Tribolium castaneum: one gene and its partner. The protein of the gene in region 1 purifies or fractionates together with the protein of each later gene. This does not show direct contact. Links are inferred from orthologs where the notes say so. Each region holds a gene or a part of one and is shown on either strand. Other genes may lie near its edges.

Region 1 (9,130 bases):
CCAGAAAAGCATCCTAATGAGCACAAAAAATAATAGCATGCCATTTAAAAAAATTATTATATTGACGTCATTCTTTTTGGGACACTCGGTATAATCGAAAATATTTTCCTGAAATGTGTTCTAGAGTATAAATAATGTCTACAAAGTATCAAAACTCCAATTTAAATAATAAATGACCTACAGAAGACCGGAGATGATCTGGACCACTCTGTATATAGTGTTGCAAAATAGGACTATCAATTTTGTTCGTTTGTCAAAAGCCGGTTCGTTATAACCGAGTTCCACTGTAATTCAATCTTGATGTAAAATTCGGAAAACAATCCGAACAATGGTTTATTACATTTTTTTAATAAACTTTTTTGTTATGCTAGCTAAAGTTTGCAAATGATCACGAATCACTGTTTGAATTTCTACAGAACAGAGTCTTTTTTGATTTCTTGATGATTTCCTGATTTTTTTAGGAAATAATATTAAAATTCACAAATTGTTTATAGGTATTGGACGTGCAGTTTCTTAGTGTCCATTGTAATGCAAAAGACTAACCTGTTACCAGGAAAACTCAAATAAAAATTAATGCTTAGAGCATGCCTTTTGCACCACAGTGGACACAAAGAAAATGAATTTAATTTACATAGAGTTGTCGTCATATCGTCACAAATTTGTAGTAATGTAGAGGTTGTTCCATATCTAGTGGCGAACTGACAGTGACATAAAAGACTCTTGAATTACACCCACTGGATAAAGATAATGAAGTACATCAACGTACATTTTTTTCTCTAAAATTTAATTAGTTTTAATTTTTACATTAATAAATTTTAAGGACGAAGATAAGCAGATTATTACTATTATTAATAATTTATTCATTATTTTTATTCATTTTACGTATCGTATTATTATTTTTTAATCACCAATAACAGTGGGTTTAAAAATTATTTTATTACGACGCCTATGGGCATTATTTTATTTAATTCGGAAGTAAAGTTACCGTTGGGGGCGCCACTGAGCTAGGTCGAAAACAGTAACCATAAATGGCGGGAAAATGTTTATTCGGATATTTTGAGCGTTGTACGAATTTTGAGGCTTCACAATTATTACATTGCCAATGCGGAATGACTATTGTATCTTTGGTGGAAGAAACGAATGTTGACAAATTGGAGATGACGAGGAAAACACGAATAATGAATGACTTTTTGGTTCACTTTCTTTATTGAAAAATTATTACAAAGACATTGAAAAGCCCACCTTTTGGCATAATTTACGTTTAAGTGTATTAGCAGTTGTTAATTTTAGTTGTAGTTTTGTTGATTTATCGAAGTATTTCATGATTTTATCAGTGGAAAAATTCTAACCTAAAATTCACAAACTTCACTAATTTATTGGTTTCTTGAGCCCAACTTTGTGTTCGCAGTGATCCATTACTATAGTCTTTAATTAGACAACTGTTTGATAACACTTTGTAATAAAAATTTAAATCTTTTACACTTTTTATCCACTTTCAAATTCCAACAACAAACACTTTATACCACGAAAAACCGCAGAACCAAAGTCAAAGCTAGTATTTACCACCACGTACTTTTAAAGTGATTCTCTCCAATGTAAGCAATTAACACTATACACGCAAAATTGCTCAACAATTTATTAGATGTCAATTAAATGTGGAATTACGAAAATTTCGTTACTGTTTTCGACATAGTTCAAAAGTCATCACCAGAGGGCGTCTAGTTAATTTTATTTCCGAATAGAAAGAACATGTTTAATGCCAAAATTCTGTTACTTTTGGCAATGTCACTTCGCCACCAGATTTGGAATAAGCTCTAAATACAGAAGTGACTGAAATTGAGTGGAAATGAAAATTTACATTAAAATAAATATAAACAGTGATTAAAAGTTATTCACTCTGTTATCAATGTTATCATTATAAATTATCATTATTATCCGAAATTCCCATTTCTATAAACTAGAAACTTTTACTCAGTTTTTTTAAGTAGTAATGAAGTAATAATAAATTAATATTAAAGAATAGGTTGGGAATGGGTTTTTTGATAAAAACTTTGAATCAGAAAAAATTTGTTTAATTTCCTGAAAGTTAAAGTAGGAATCAGTGAATCACGTTGACGATTTTATAGCCACCACTGATTAATTAATAATTAATGATGAAAAGAAAATCTAACGTCATTTCGCTTTAAGAGCTCTTCATACATGCTACAATTTCCCATTAATTTTAAAAATTTATTTTTGCGTAATAAGATGCTCGCCCACGTGTTTTTCCCCCGAAATCGATACACCTCAAACCACAACTTTGGCCAAAACAATCTCTTCCTCGATTTTGTGTCTTTGTCATACACACGGATTAGATTTGAGACATTTTGAGTGTAGTTTGTCGAAACTAGGCAGCGCACGCATGGTCCATCCACGACCTGAGGCTGCGTCAAGCGAATCCAAACATTTCAGTGGAGAAGTGTAGAGAGGATAGAGTGGTGGTAAAGTGCGCCGGTTTGTTGTGACTACGAAAAGTTTATTATTAATTTTAATTTCACGTTTTAAAGTGAGACAAGAAGGGCAAAGAAAAAATGCCCCCTTAAAAATAACTTCGGTTTATGGACGCTCGTAATAGTGGCATAAATTTTCAAGTGCTTGAAATCATGTCGTTCTTTAATTATAGTGGATTTCACAGCCCGCCTTCGAGGCCTTTAATTATTCCGTCCCCTACAAGTCCTTTTTGGTAAGTTTTGCCAAGTGTTTGGCTACTGCTCGGAAATGCTGAGGGGTTGTTGTAGTTTGTAGTGGGTTTAGTCATCGTCTTTGGGATGCGAAGGGGAGGAAAATTCCAGCGCAGGTCAAAACTGAATCAAGTTTTTGATGAGGGTTGAAAAAATCCAATTTGTACCTAATTTGCTAACAAAATAAATTTAATAATGAATAATTATTTAACTATTTATTCTATAATTATGTTTATACAGTGGAACTCCGTGATAACGGACAAGGTTTTTAACGTTTAAAATATATACAAAAGTGGTCTATGAGTCGGTTGTAACGAACACACGTGCATTTTTGTTACATTCTCGGAAATAATAAACATTTCCGATTTGCAACAACATTCCAAATAATCAGAAATCTCTAATTTTGCCACAAAATTTAAAATAATTGTTGGATTACTATTAAACAAGTCTACAAATGGAAATGCGTCTTTTCTAATAAATTAAATTAAATGAAGTTTTTTAGGATAATTTCTATTTTTATTTTTTATTTGTATTTCAAAATCCGTTTTCAAATAGCCAAAAAATAAAATAAAAATTACATCCGATTTCAAAAATTGAAACTTTTTGAGCTTTTAACACAAATGTTAATTTCTGTGGTACAATTTGCTGGCCCCCATGTCGTTGATAACCCTATCACCACCTGAACCCACGGTCTCTTCTATCTGTTCGCCCACATGCCCTCAACTCTGACCCAGATTGAACATCACGTGGAAAAATCAATTGCACGTGCATTTCCACTACCCCGTTTTCACCACTCGACCCGAAAACAGTGCGCTCAACTTTTCAAGTAGGCGATAGCCGCCGACGAATTAATAAACTAAATGAAAATGCCCTTGTCGATATTAACGACACGAACAGAAAGCGCTTTTCTTGGCCATTTACGGATGTCTTTATCAGAAAAAGTTGACATTTTAATGGGGACGTCGAGCAGATGGCACGTTTTCTCGATGCTGAAAGGAAATATTTTTTGTTGTTGAAGGAAATACGAGGCTTATCTGGAGCGATGAGATAATTTATGTGACTTGACTGCATCTGAATTAAAATACGGCTGGCGATGACGCGTTCTGAATGAAATAATATCAGACTGCAGTTTGTTGTAATCGGTTTTCCTACTTTGGGAAAGTTGCGTAAAGTCGTGGGAACAGTCATAGGAAAATAAAGATAAGAATTTACTTTATATGGCGAAGCGAAAAATGCATAATTTATTTTTAAGACAGTTTTACAATTTTAGTACACCTGCACACACACCTTGTAATTTTCATTGTTTACAGTGTACACCTTCGTTCAAATATGGAACCGATTCTTTAATGGCCAATTAAATCATTAACTTGTAATGTTTATACAGTCCCTAGCTCGCATTAAATCAAGAAGTGTTTATTCAGTGCACCTTTGTCTTTATCTTTTCTGTCGGCACGTGTCATTTACCTTCTTTACTTTTTTTTTCATGTTCATTTTAAGATCGTTATTATTTTAGTCTACGTTTTTTACGTAGCTGGATGGGCCTAAAATTAATTATAGTTGTCTTGTCTGTGCTTAGGAAGTGAGATAAAGGGGGCATAAAAACATGGCTGTGTGTAATGGATACTTCAAAGGATCGAGGGTGAGATATTCTACCGCACAAGATGAAAAACTTACATTTAGATTTTGATAAACTGGGATTTGTCTGGTTTTAAAAACAAACACTGCTGCGCCTTTTTTCAATCAACAACAAATTGCATAATCAGTTCAGTCGACAAAACTCATCCAAAATTGTTGTTGCCTCTCATTTATCTCTATTTGCTACTGAACTGTTTCTCCAACAAAGCGGAAGACAAACATCGAGTATCTCTAAGGAAGTTGTATATTAGGGATGTTTTGACTTCAGTTACAAACACGTGTGGTGTTTTGTTCAAATAAATCAGGAAAATTGTGAGCACATATTTGGAAAATGTGAAATAAATATCTCTCAAGGTTTATTATTTAGACACATATTTGCCTAAATTTTCGCCATGTGTAAACTTGAAATTTCAGTCGATTTGTTTTATTATTCTCCACAGTTTGTAACTCAGTCACATTTTATTATGACTAGCCAGAAGTCATAAACCGTCAGGTTGTTCCCTTGTTGGCGTAATAAGAATAAACCCTATTTATCAATTTTGGTTCGGTCAACAAGGGCTTGAGCACAATACTAAATAAATGTAAATGTTTACATTTGTGGATAACGTAATTCAAACTAGAGGAGAGTGATGTTTGTTTATGTTTGATTACGTTAGCGGGCGTTTTCCTGAATTGGCCAGCTGGTGTCGGTGGAACGCGAAACAAGAGAATGTTTTCAAGAAGGATACTTAATCTTTATCGGGGATTAAGTGTTGACTAGAATTACAAAGTGATTAAAGCTTTCTTTGTAAGAGAGGTTATTAAAATAACTCAGGGAAGGGTTGCTACCGCATGTTTATTTTCCTCAAATGGATTACTAAGAAAGATAAGACTGTTTGTTCGAATTTTGAAACTTTCTAATGCCTATTCGAGTGCTTCCAATCAATAAGATTAACGGATTGTTATGAAATTTAGAATGCACATATTTTCGGTGGTCTTTCAATTAGGGACAAAAAAATGATCTCTAGTTAAAAAATGAAATTTTAAAACACATTTCTTTTATTTAAAATTAAGCCAAATTACCGTTGAATCATTAAACCCCGAAAAATAAATGGCCACACAAAAAATTAACCAAATCGCTCAGCTGATCCAAGAAAAAAATTAAATTTTGTTGTTAAAAACTTATTCAAATTTTGATAGTAATTTGGGCAGTCACCTTTTGAAACAATTGATGAAGCATTTCTATGCGGCATTATGTGTACCACTGAAAAAAACTACCAAAAGTGTGCGCATTGTCAGAAAAGTAAAATTGTTTTAATTTGGTGAAATTACTTTAAAAACCAACAAGTGGCAGAAATTTCTGTGTTGTTGAAAAAGGAATCAATATTTGCCTATGGAAAGTGTCGTTGGACTTTTTGTGAAATGTTATTTTTGAAATTTAAAGTTAAAAAAATCGTCATTAATTTAAAGACACAGGAAGTGTATTTGAACTAAATCGAGTGAGGACAAAACACGTCACTGGAAACGAAGCAATAGTTAGAGCTGTAATTCAAGCTTTTGAAGAGAATCCAATCAGTAGTGTACGAAACATTTCCAAAGTCCTGAATGTTCAAGTGTCTAGAATTTTTCAGTTGTTGTTCAGTCTTTTAATCTTTTTTGAAAGAATTAAAGCATCCAGTACCAAAAGTATTGTTTTTTAACTTTATATGGGTGAGAGATAATTGTGAAATGTCCCTTGCGTGACAGTTACGTTTCTGCGAGTAGGATTGACCAAAATTCAATGGTAGTGCTCATTTGTCTCATAGAGATCTACGCTTTTGCATCTGAACCCACGTTTAACAGTTTGTTTCTCATTTTTCTCGCGAAACAGACTTCTTCCACAAACGAGTTTTTTCTGACAGCATTTTTCACTGACGATATTTTTTTTTAATATAAATCTTAAAAGGCTTAACATTTTAAAAAGGCATGTAAAAATTACGTTTTTAATGCTTGAGTTGTTGCATTAATTGGATTTTAATCTTTATCTTCTAAAATATATGCATTTTAAATTTCATAAAAACCCGTTGAGAAATGTCTGAGATATCAGGCTCGAAAGTCTTAGCTGAGACACCCTGTATTGTGTAAGATAATCCTTAAAGGTTGCTAAACTTTGGCGATCTCTGACCTGTCCGTTCAAAATGATTATCCGTCTATATTACTGTTGCTAAATAAATTTATGTGCAAATAAGGGGGCGGTGGCCTTGTTAAATCACCCACTTGCTCTTGAAAGGAATCTACAATTCTTCTAACTTGACATAATGGGATTGATGCTAATAGCATTTACTTTATATATAAGCACTTTACATTTTTGGGACGTTCTCGAGGATATCGAATTGTTTTCTCAGTATTATGTTTCATTAAACAAACGTACAATTAGTTTTAATCGGCATTGTTTGCTGTATTTATTTTAATGATGGTTTTTATCTGTGTGCTAGGTCAAAGTTTAGTGGTGCAATTAGGCATTGGTACGACTTTTAATTCTTCTTAATTATACAAAAGAATAATGTGCTAGAAAAATATAATGGGTCTTATCCGCTTCGCTTAATTATTGTATTTATTTCTGTTCCGTTTAAATGAATTTCCTGTGTGAATGGGTGTATTACTTGCCACCACAGAAGTGATTGATTTATATTTAGAAAGAAATTATGTAACAAATGGAATGACAGGCTTTGGTGTCATCAAAGATCAAGTTCATTGCAGTGCATGAATCAGAAACCCAAATATATCGTTAGTCGTTTTCGATTTTTCTCTCCTTTTAATTTTTTTAAGTAGAATTGAAACTGAACTGAAATAATTAAGTGCGTTCACTGCTAACGCGTATTGCTTCTCACTGTTGATGTATGTACGAGCCTTTGTTTATTTTTTTATCAGAATTTGTTCAAAAAAGTCTTACTCACATATGCGTAAACACATACTTCACGTTTTTATTTGTTTTTTACAGTGGTTTTACTCTGGAACTAATGTATTTGAGCCACCACTGTAAGTATTTGAGTATTTTTAACTTGGTTCATGTTTTTGTTAGATAACGTGGCCACATTAAAGTAGGAAGTAAAATAAAACAGAACAAGTCCATCTGTTTCTGTAGTTTGTGTAGGATGAAGTCCGAGCGGTCATAATTTTTTTTTTTTAATTTTATATTTTAATTTATTGGTAGTTTGTTTTTTTTTTACTTTTCGTCATAGATTAGCATGTAGATAATTAGGGTAATTAGTCAGTAAAGCTCCGAAAAGACCCCGAGACTTTTATTTCGAGAAACATAAACACTTGAGCCTAATTTATTAGCTAGTCAGGGTGACAAGCAGACCACCCCAAGTCGACCGTGAGTAAGACGCCTTCGAATATGCAATTTTGCATATGAGTTTTTAGTTTTCACCCACACTTTAGAGGGGTAGTGTGAGCTAGAGTCAGTTCCAAGTTAGAGTGACTTAAAGTAATTGCTTAAGTGAATCAAGGTGAGTTGTCACTGAGTAATCCCAGTTTGTTGGTGTGTGAGGTTTTTCAATCCAATAAGGTGTAGAGATTTATGATAATTACCATATCAACGGTAGGGTGAGTCGTTCACTTATTATTTTAATTGCTGCGGTGTTGATATTTATAATTGTTGATAACGTTCATCAAAAACCTGCGTGAGTATTGAGTACAATATCAAACTGAAGTTGAATCAATGCGCTATTCATCAGTTGATAGTTTATTTAATTGGTTGATACTAAAGTTGGTGATATTTGATGAGAATGATATTGAATTGAGAGTTGACGAACTATGAATAAGATTGAGTTGAGCCCCGACATGTCGAGCTAAACTTTGTTAGTCTGTCTATCCTTAATTAATCCACGGTTAAGCTTGAGGCGGGGCGGCGCTCGAAAATGCCCATTGCACGCCGAGATTAACCCAACAGGGGACGCTGGAGGGTCGCGGCGTCGCGAGGCCTCCAGGTCTGGTTTATGTTTATTTGTGGACGCGGGGGATCACTAGGCAGCCGCGTTCATTGCACCCCCAGGTCTAGGTTGCAGAATAGGTCGTGGGGAGAGCGCTGGAAGGTGATCATTGCACTTGCTCGTTGGTCCGTGAGACGGCTTCGGCTATGAGGTTAAGGGACTTGTTCACCACCTGCACTATGAAGAGGGCTTCCATTGCACGCTCAGGGCTATGTGTGATTAGCAGTTGAGCAGGTTAGCCAAAAAGGTGTTCATTGCACTGCCCGGAACCGCCCCTGAGATACGGCTGCGGCCATGAGGTTTATAGGGACTTGTTCACCACCTGCACTATGAAGAGGGCCTCCATTGCACGCTTAGGGCTATGTTTGATTAGCGGCTGAGCAGGTTGGCCAAAAAGGTGATCATTGCACTGCCCGGAACCGCCCCCTTTTTATGTTGGTCATAGGCGAGTACCATGAACATAATATCCATTGCACGCTTGGTGTTGAATGACCTGCGGGTCTCGAAGTAGACGCTGGACGGATATTACCGGGGTACTCATTGCACAACCTAAGACAAGTGGTGGATGACAAGGCAGCGTTGCCTATTGCACGTCAGAACCGCGAGGTGGTCTCTCGATTGCTGCTGATCCAGAGACAAGCGGGCTGGATGGTATCTATGAGCAAAGGGGTAACCCTTTGCCTGGTTTCCCCCTATGCTCCTGGAGTCCTATTGACCAGGACTGCGACTGTTAACCTTTTGAACCCCTTGGACAGAGCTCAACCGATTCTATTCGAATTACATATTTTATTGATGGTAGATTTGCATAATTATTTTGGGTTA
Region 2 (9,040 bases), on another chromosome or scaffold:
TTATTGGTGTTGTTTTTAAGAAGGTAGGTGCGTTTATTTACTGAGGTGTTGAATTTAATAGATTACTGCCATATATTATAACGTATTGTGTATTCTTTTTTTGTTTAATATTGATATACGTCTCTTGTAATTTTCATGCAAATAAAGATGTTTATTGGTGTTGTTTCTATTTCTTTTAATGTTTTGCTACAAACGGTAGCCAACGTGGAAGCGATACAAAGGTAGGACCATTTTATTTTTGTGTTGTATTTTTTTTTATTTCACAAACCAATAATTCCTTTATTCCCTTCATTTTCTAATAATCATTATTTACCTCATCCTTATTTCCTTTTTTCCTGGCGAGAAAGCTCTAAACCTCCACGTGGTTCTTGCTGGACAAATTACTTAGTAATTTGACCAATTAGAGCAACCCATAATTGTAATAAGTATTGCTGATTGTTCTTTACAGCCGTAAAACTTACAAAGATGTAACGTAAAGAACAATTTATTTGAAACTTAAAAGCTTTTAAATGCTACAAACAGTAGCCACCGCAGAAGCCATATAAAGGGAGGTGCATTTTTTTCTATTTAATTTGTGAAGTGTTAAATTTAATAGTTTGAGTGCCATATATTATTTGTGTATTCTTTATTTTGTATAATATTGATAATAAAGGTTTTTTATTGGTTGTGTTTTTAATTGATTTCTAACACCTTGCTACAAACAGTAGCCAACGTAGAAGCCATATGAAGGTAAGTGCATTTTATTTAACACCAAGTAAAAAATATTTGGTTTATGTGTTGTATTTTTTTCTTCACCGATGTGTTAAAGACCCATGATATTGTTTGTGTGGCGATTTAATAGATAATATTTATTGACTAGTAAGTTAGACAAAATGTACATAAATTCATTCAAACCGCTAAATACACTACAATTTATAATATACACACTGCGTTTTTTTTATTTACCTAACTTTGATTTATTACAAAGCGCTAAATGTCGCTGAAAATGGCCCTTATTTGAAGTGCTATACACACACTGACTGCACAGAAACTTGCTGTGGAGCCTCCGATGTGTGAAACATTCCTTCTTGCCCTGTGAGACAACCTCACAGAACTTGCACTTGTAGGGCCGTGGGTGCACTTCCTGGCAATGTGCCGTCAATTGTGCCTTCACCCCTGTCTTAAAATCGCAATCTGTGCAGGAAAAACTTCGCACAAATGGGTGTTTTTCCCGCCTATGAAGCATCATTTCCGAGGCCAATTTCGTTACAAAACCGCACTTTTTACACTTCCGTGTCTTGTTCGAACACGCACTTGCATGCTTGCGAAAAGACTGGCTTTTCAGTGTTTTAAACGAGCAATGTGTGCACTGATACACTGGCAATTTGTTTTTGCTGCAACCGAAGCGGTGCTCCTGGAAAGTCTTTCGACTTTTAAACGTCTCATTGCAATATTTACAAATAAGGGGCGAGTTTGAGTGCTGGTGGGACTCAATGTGGTTGAAATAAATCAACTTGTGTTTGGTTGAAAACGAACAGATCTGGCAGGTGTACCCCCGAAAGGGGTCCTCCTCCAATTCACTGCAATTTGAGCGTTAATTGAGCGGAATTGCGATTTTACCGACGTTTCGGACTCAGGGCGGTGGTCTTCAGAGTGGAGAAAATCCTGAATGTTGGGCTCGGCAATTGTTTCAGGATCGTCGTAACACACCGAGGAGTCTTCGACCACGTCAAGTGTGAAATCCTCGTCCACAAACACGCACGTCATTGCACAAAAACATTAATAACAAATTATAAAAAAACGGACGAAATTTGAGGTTATGGCACTGACAGCCACGGCCACCAACACTGAACCAAACACTGACACTTTAACCACAGATTAGAGAGGTTGATCTGTGCTTTAACTAGCAAACACGCGAAAACTAAATACAAATTAACGTCCTGTGGGCGCTTAAACCGCTAATTAGCAAAAATCGTGGCAAAGACTGGGGAAAAACACTTTAGTGAGTCGTGGCGTTGCCAACAGTGCAACACCAAAGTCACTAAGAATTTGATTTTGATCAAGTTTTATTACAAAAATCGGTACAAAATTACTTCTGTGTGGGGAAATAATCACTGTAGAAAATGTTCCACACGACGGCCCCCACCATCAGGGCCAAATACACCGCAATGGACACCCACCAAATAATATTCTCCTTTTTGGTGATTTGCAAATTCTTGAGAACACAAATACCGACCAAAAGCCCGGCCAAAGCCCCCGAAAAATGCGCCATGTACCCAATGGGCTCATCCAAGTTGGCCCAATACCTGTTATAAATCGAAGTCCCCACATCAACCCCCGTAATGAGCAAAAAAATCGCCAGTTGGACGAACGGCATGCTCATCTCGTGCCAATTCTGTAAAAATCAACTGTTTGAACACTACTACAGTGTTTGAAGTTTTACCATAATTATGGTGGCAATATGTGCCGTGATGAGCGAGTAAACCCCCCCGCTGGCCCCGGCCAACTTAGCCCTGGGATCAGTGATTGACGTCCCGAGCGAACCGGCAACCACTCCCGTGACGTAAACTAAAAGAACGCGCCACCAATCATGCACCATTTCGAGGGGAATCCCCAAAAAAACCTGGACTACTAGATTCACCACCAAATGCAAGTAGCTAAATCAAAATCCCCAGTTGGGTGATTCACACACATTGTTACCAACTCACCCAATGTGCACGAACATGTAAGTGAGGTAGCGCCAAGCCTCGTAACGCCGTTCCGGGTCGTAAATAAACAATTGGGCCATTGGTCCAGCGGCAAATAGGGTGGAGTTGCGTTCACGGTATTCATCAATGGCGAAAAAAATCAACTCGATGATTGAAATTGTGATCATTCCGATTTTTGGCGGGCAAAATTTGTACTGGTCTTCGTATTCGCCGGCACCGTCGACTTGGGTGGCCACAGCCCCCTGTTTTTTCCTCGGGAGGATGAAATTCACATAACGGGTTACAACTTTCTTAAAGAGGGGCTGTGTTTTTATCATTGTGACAAATTCCCCATAATCTAGTCCACCATCTTGGTTCTTGTCGGCCATTTGGTGGATTTGGCGGATTAGTTGTTGCGGTGGGGGCTCATCGGTGAGGCTCAAGCGGTCCACCACCCGCTCGAGCTCGTTGGGGGTCACTACCCCGTCCTTGTTAGTGTCAGCCTTAAAAAAAATGTACCTGACCTGACCTGACCTGACCTGACCTGACTACTTTACCAAATAAAAATATAGAGAAAATTCAGCATTTTTTTTTATTCTTTAAGGCCGGGTTGTGGGTACTCACCCTGTCAAAAATACTGCGATAGTATTGGTCCGTGGGTGACGTAGGGGTGTGGTTGAGGGGAATTTGGGATTCATCCCTAGTTCTTAATTCCAGGTCCAGGTGAAGCGACCTGTTCGAAGCCATGGTTTTTGCGGTCTCAAGGCGTATTCAAATTTTTGTTTAGATAAGATTAGATATCAATAGGCGTTCCCCAATTTCCCGGAATGTCAAAAATTTATCCAGGTTTTTTGGCATTGTTGTGATTATTACGACTGTCAGTTGTTACACTAGATAGTTTGGTTTAAATAGCTGGTGAAAGAAGTGGCCTTTGACTTTTGTTGTATAGTTGATTAGAAAAAAAATTAAGTGGGTACCGGAATTTCCTTGATGAATCACGTCAAGGTTATTTATCGCACTAATCGCTTATCTACGCTACACCGATACGTGTGGTAATTGTGTGTAAACATTAAATTAGCTTGTGTGCATCCTTTTATCACAATAAATACAAAAAAAGTAACGCACGTTTGTTTTATTCAAATTCCCCGCCTTTAGAGCCGACAAAATGGCGCATAAAACTGACCATAAATTACGGCACAATTAATCGGTAAACCCGCACATCCAAACCCAAATAACAATTTCCCAATAAAAAAAACGGCAAAAATTGCTCTTTTCGCCCCAAATTACTCGAAAAAACTTAAAAAAAACACAGTAACTTCATTTTTGACGGTGGTACTGCTCACGTTGGCAGCGATTCCCCCAGATTTAAATTTAAATCGCTGTCAACCGTCCCTAACCTTAAAAAAAATGCCACTTTCACCAAACCTCCTCCAACGCTTGGCCGAACTCAAAAAATGGCAAGAAAGCCACGAGGATTTACTCAAAAAAACAATTATCAACACCAGTGCAAACGCGACCACATTATCGGACTACCAAACCATTGACGGTCTTTCAGCCTTTGACTCCTCAAACGAACACTCCCGTAAAAACTGGGAGAGTCAGGTAATTTCCCCCACGAAAACCTTCCACGAACTACTTGAAGAAAAACTCGCTCTTGATCCGGGCCCTGGGGCTGCGCCCCCTAAACCGAAACGCCCCTTTTTAAAAAAGGGGGCCGGTTTGGAGCGTTTCCGCATGAAAACGCGCCCCAAATTGATTAAAAAATCGAAAGGGGAGAAAGAAAATGATAATGTGACTCCTCTGAGGGCCCCCGATTTGGTGGTGAGGCCCAAGGCCACGTGGGGGCCCCCCGGCGAGCAAACACTGTACGAGAAGGCGCTAGAGAAGGAGTTGAGGATTTTTGAGGCTTTGGAGGAAAAGGCCGAGAATAGTAGCTTTTGTTCAACGAATTCTAGCGTTGTGAGGATTTTGTCAAGCACTCCGAGTAAAAAAGGGGGCGATGATGTGATAGAGACTGAGTTGGAGCGCAAAGACATTGCGGAGATTTTATTGAGGCTTAAGAATTTGGCCGAGGGACGGATGAAGCCCCCCGATGTACCCTGTTAGTGTTTTTTTTTTATTTAAAATTGAAGTCTTGTTATAGAAAAAATGTTGTATTATACACGGGACTTCGTCACTCGTATAATATAATTCTTGAGCGATTTTTTCCATTTTAGCGATTATTGAGGCTTCTGATGAGGACAAGTGGACCAGTAGTGAGGTTTCAAGTGTCTCATCGGGGGATTTAGAGGAGACTCTGACAGCCCCAAAACGTGATATAGGAGTTGGGACTGAGGCAAGCAATGATTGTGCAATTTGTGGTGATAAACTCAAGAAAAAAATTATTGAATACGACGACAAACTCAATGATTTAATTGAGGATAAAAACCGGATAAGTGAGCTACGAAAACAGTTGGAGCAAAAAGAGCGCGATTTTTTAAAACGCAAGCACGAATTTGAGGACCAAAGAGCGAATTTTGAGTACGAAGCGGACATTGAACGAAAAAAACTTGCAAAAGAACGACAGGCGTTTCAAATGTTTGTCTCAACCTTCCACTTCTCGTATTAAAAAAAATGTTTTAGGTTCATGAAAGAGTCACAAAATCGCCCAAACAAAAAAGAACGGCAAGAAATAAGCAACTTGAAGCAAGAAGTGGCCGATTTGAGTGAAACTTTAAAGCTAAAAGAGTCAAAAAACGGAATGACCCAAGCCCGCCTTCGCAACCAAATCAAACAACTCGAAAAGGAAAATTCGCAACTCAAGACTGAAATTGAAAAATTAACGAAAGAAAACGCCAAACTTTCAGCAACGCAAAAACTGAACAGAAAATCATCCGATTCGAAAATTTTGCACGAAATCAACAAAAACATAACTAAACTAACAAACCAGGCAAAAAATCACGAAAAAAATGTAATGCTGGATCAGAGTGAGTCGTTTCTGGTCATGGCACCCCCTCTAGCGGACGAATGCAACAACGGCGGTGCCAACCAATCAGAAACGAGCGCCTTTAACTCCAACCAATCACAAGTGACGTACCCCAACGGCAATATTAAAACAGTGTCACCCGATGGTAACTTTATAACTGTTAAATTCTTCAATGGTGACCGCCAGGAAACTAATTTATTGGACGGAACCGTTAAATATTTTTTCACCAATCGTAACATCACCCAAACTACGTTTGCCGACGGTTTGGAAGTAGTCGAATTTCCTGAGTAGGCACCGCTCACAAAAAAAACAAACACAACTGACTTGATTTTTAGGGGGGTTATTGAGAGGCGTTTTCCGGACGGCAGGTGCGAAATTACGCTCCCAGATGGCGCTGTGCAAACAACGCTACCTGACGGCGGTACGGAAACTAAGTACACCGACGGCTCGATTGTCAAAATTGCGCCAAACGGCGACAAGGTTTTGCTTCTAGCCAATGGGCAAAAGGAAATCGAGACAAAAGAATACAAGGTGGGCACCTGATTGGTTTAATATTTGTCACGTGGTTGGGTTGTAGAGTCGCGAGTATCCCGATGGTACTGTTAAAATTTTGTACCGAGATGGGACCCAGGAAACGAAGTATGCCAATGGGCGTGTGAGGATTAAGGATTCTAACGGGAAATTGGTTCTAGACACGCATTTATGATATTATTTATTGTATTATGGTACTAATTGATTATTTTCCGTAACTGAGTCTTTGTATAGCGTCCAGGGCGGCCGTGTCTTTGGCGATTTCGACGCTTTCGCCCCATCCAAGCCCCAGCAATTTTTTATTACAGTATAGCCCCACTTGATAATTTGCGAGAATTGTATTAACGGCCGATTTGTTACACAAACGGGACTCAATCTCCTGCTTTGGCAAAAGCGACCGCAAGTAGTCAAGGGGGCTATCGGGGGCCCAAACATCGTAAACGTCTTTACCGTTCAATTGACTTAGCAAAAAATCTTTCACGAAAAGTTGTACCCTCTCCTGGCCTTGAGACACCTCCAAGGCGGCAACCACGGCCTTGAACGTGTCAGCAAGTGTCTCATTTTCCACGGGAAATTCCTAAAAACCCAACTAGAGAACGCAACCCCCTAACTTGACACTCACAGCTGTCTGAACGATATCCTTGAGCCCCAAATGCAGCCCCACGTGTGCCAACATATCAACGGTGGTTAAGTGGCCATGGAGCGCCTCCACGACGTCCTTCGGGTACTTACCCCCGAGCTCGTTTCGCACACATTGCGAAATTAACGCGCCCCCTTGTTTAATCAATTGATGATTGCACTCAATTGTCTCAAACTCTAAACCCTTCTCCTTGGCCTTGTCCTCCTCACGAGTGACATAAGACCGGTGCGTGAGCGCCTGTTTCAGTACTTTACGGTCAAATTCTTCCCTTAGTCGTTTACCAAACGCGAAAATTTCAGCCTCGTAGTTCCATTCTAGGTAACTGGAGCGTGGGGTGGGGGCCTCGGGCCCCACTTGGTCCATCCGACGTTTCAGTTGTTTGAGCACGGGGGCCACCCAACGCTTGATATTGCGAGTTTCTTGAAACATGTTTGATTTGGGGGTTATATTAGTTGGGGGGCTTACCGGTTATTTGGGGCGTTTGGACCTGGCGCAGGACCAGGCGGGTCGCCCGGAGCGCCGCGTGCCGACAAAAAGACATTTCGGGGCACAGTTACCACACAATTACTTTAATAGTGTTAGATTAAGTGAGGTTAGGTTGGGTTGGAAGTGGTCAGGGTTACGTTGTTTGTGGCTATTTTTGCCAAATAGCGGACAGTTTTTATTAAAACGTTAATTGTAAAACGGTTGGATACATTTTATTGATCAATTTGTGTAAATTTTAAACAATTAATTACAAAAAATCGCCTCAAAACCGGATGTTTATGCAACCAAATATACTTTAGGTTAAGGTTACGTCTGTTTAAAAAAATATTTTTATTTGTATGTTTTTTTTAAAGGAATAAACAGTGGGAATGAATTTGCGTGAATAAAACGCGCGTTGGGTCAAACATTTTTATAAAAATATGTCTGCTTGAACACTGTAATGAACAACACCCTGTTAAGAATAAAACGAATTAAGTAGCTTGAAATACGCAAGTTGATTAAATTTAATTAAGTAGCTAATAATATCGAAAAGCCGTCTTCTCAAGGCACGTATCAATACTTTTGAATGCGAGTGAGACTTGAATAAATACAACAGTCCCTAGCCTAACTTTAATATCACTCTAACAAATTTCTAAGTACTTAATTGATACTTATTGTGTTTGGTTTTGGTGGTACTGTGGCCGCCCAGCCAACTCCAACAGATACCTATCTGGATGGTCCAGCCAATCATCGGCGCTCAATTTGACACATCTTTGTCTTTCGGCTTCCTTGACTTCCCATTTTTTCACTTCTAATTGTTGTTCCCGACTTATGGGATCCCCACAACCCCAGACTTCAATACGTAGCAAACTGTAGGGTATTTTTTTAAACTCCATCTAGTGAGAGAATTAGAAACGAGAATTTGTGACGTAACAACTGACCTTTTCAAACCCACCGTCTACTATGATTATGGGACTACGTGGGTCTTTCCCAGCCCGTAACCCATAAGGGTACCCCCGAACCGTGGTATTTAAATACAACATTTTGGACCCCTTTTCCAGTAACACAAACCTGACAAAATATTTCGAAAACTTCCAAAACAGTTGGCAATGACTCACTTTGGTAACAATTGAAAAACAGCTGAGTCCTCCCCACCCCAATAATGATTGGATTCTCTCCACTCATTCGGTGACGCAATACAAAAAACTTGGCCATCTTCGACCCGCAAAAGACACAAAGTGGGCCCTTTGTACGACATCACGTGGTGTAGGAAACGATTCGCCCCTAAACCGTCATTATCCGAGTCGTACAAAACCACCCAATGAGAAGGCACCGAGCACAAGAGTTTGGTCAAAAAGGCGGTGCTTGCCAGACCTTGACAAATCAGACATTAAGTGGGTGTGGTCTAATACAAATGCGGGCTATTACCAACGCCACTGTTGCTAGGCGAGTGCGCTTTTTGTGGGCGTGAAAATACAGGTGGGAGGGCCCCTGCCAACAGCCACGACATGCTCATGTGCAGCAAGTGGGGGTGTTTCTGGCTGAAGGGCGGGGCCTGCTCCAGGACGGGCGTGGCCAACTCTAAACCTATTACAATAATTTAATACCACCCCTGGTGACTACTCAAATTATGTAATTTTTTATTTACCTTCCTCAACCTCATCTTTCGCAGCGTGTGTTTTAAAATCTAATTAAATGAGTGTTGTTCGCTTAACGCACTCACCTGCGGCTGGGGCGTTCTCCATGTCTTCCAAAGTGCGCCACGACGTGGCT

The links.
Region 2: the proteins of centrosomin (region 1) and Sas-4 purify together in Drosophila melanogaster (affinity purification with western blotting; 5 studies listed by BioGRID, with this or other methods). This does not show direct contact. The link is inferred for Tribolium castaneum from reciprocal best matches to the Drosophila melanogaster genes cnn and Sas-4.

Annotation. Positions count from the first base shown.
Region 1 is NC_087398.1:12,872,826-12,881,955, forward strand, and holds the start of centrosomin, read left to right. Parts: upstream 1-2,442; 5' UTR 2,443-2,597; coding exon 2,598-2,722; intron 2,723-9,130. UniProt on the Drosophila melanogaster protein: Core component of the centrosome throughout spermatogenesis. May participate in mitotic spindle assembly and the mechanics of morphogenesis through an interaction with microtubules, either directly or indirectly. Is a target of several homeotic genes.
Region 2 is NC_087401.1:15,918,170-15,927,209, forward strand, and holds Sas-4 (centromere protein J), read left to right. Parts: upstream 1-4,015; 5' UTR 4,016-4,073; coding exon 4,074-4,767; intron 4,768-4,882; coding exon 4,883-5,243; intron 5,244-5,288; coding exon 5,289-5,918; intron 5,919-5,966; coding exon 5,967-6,162; intron 6,163-6,208; coding exon 6,209-6,337; 3' UTR 6,338-6,367; downstream 6,368-9,040. Other genes in the region: oocyte zinc finger protein XlCOF28, read right to left, coding at 938-1,559, 1,613-1,746; rhomboid-related protein 2, read right to left, coding at 2,069-2,374, 2,423-2,636, 2,688-3,214, 3,291-3,413; mRpL44 (large ribosomal subunit protein mL44), read right to left, coding at 6,368-6,739, 6,785-7,221, 7,268-7,343; uncharacterized protein LOC663019, read right to left, coding at 7,939-8,163, 8,209-8,338, 8,386-8,641, 8,696-8,854, 8,916-8,954, 8,991-9,040.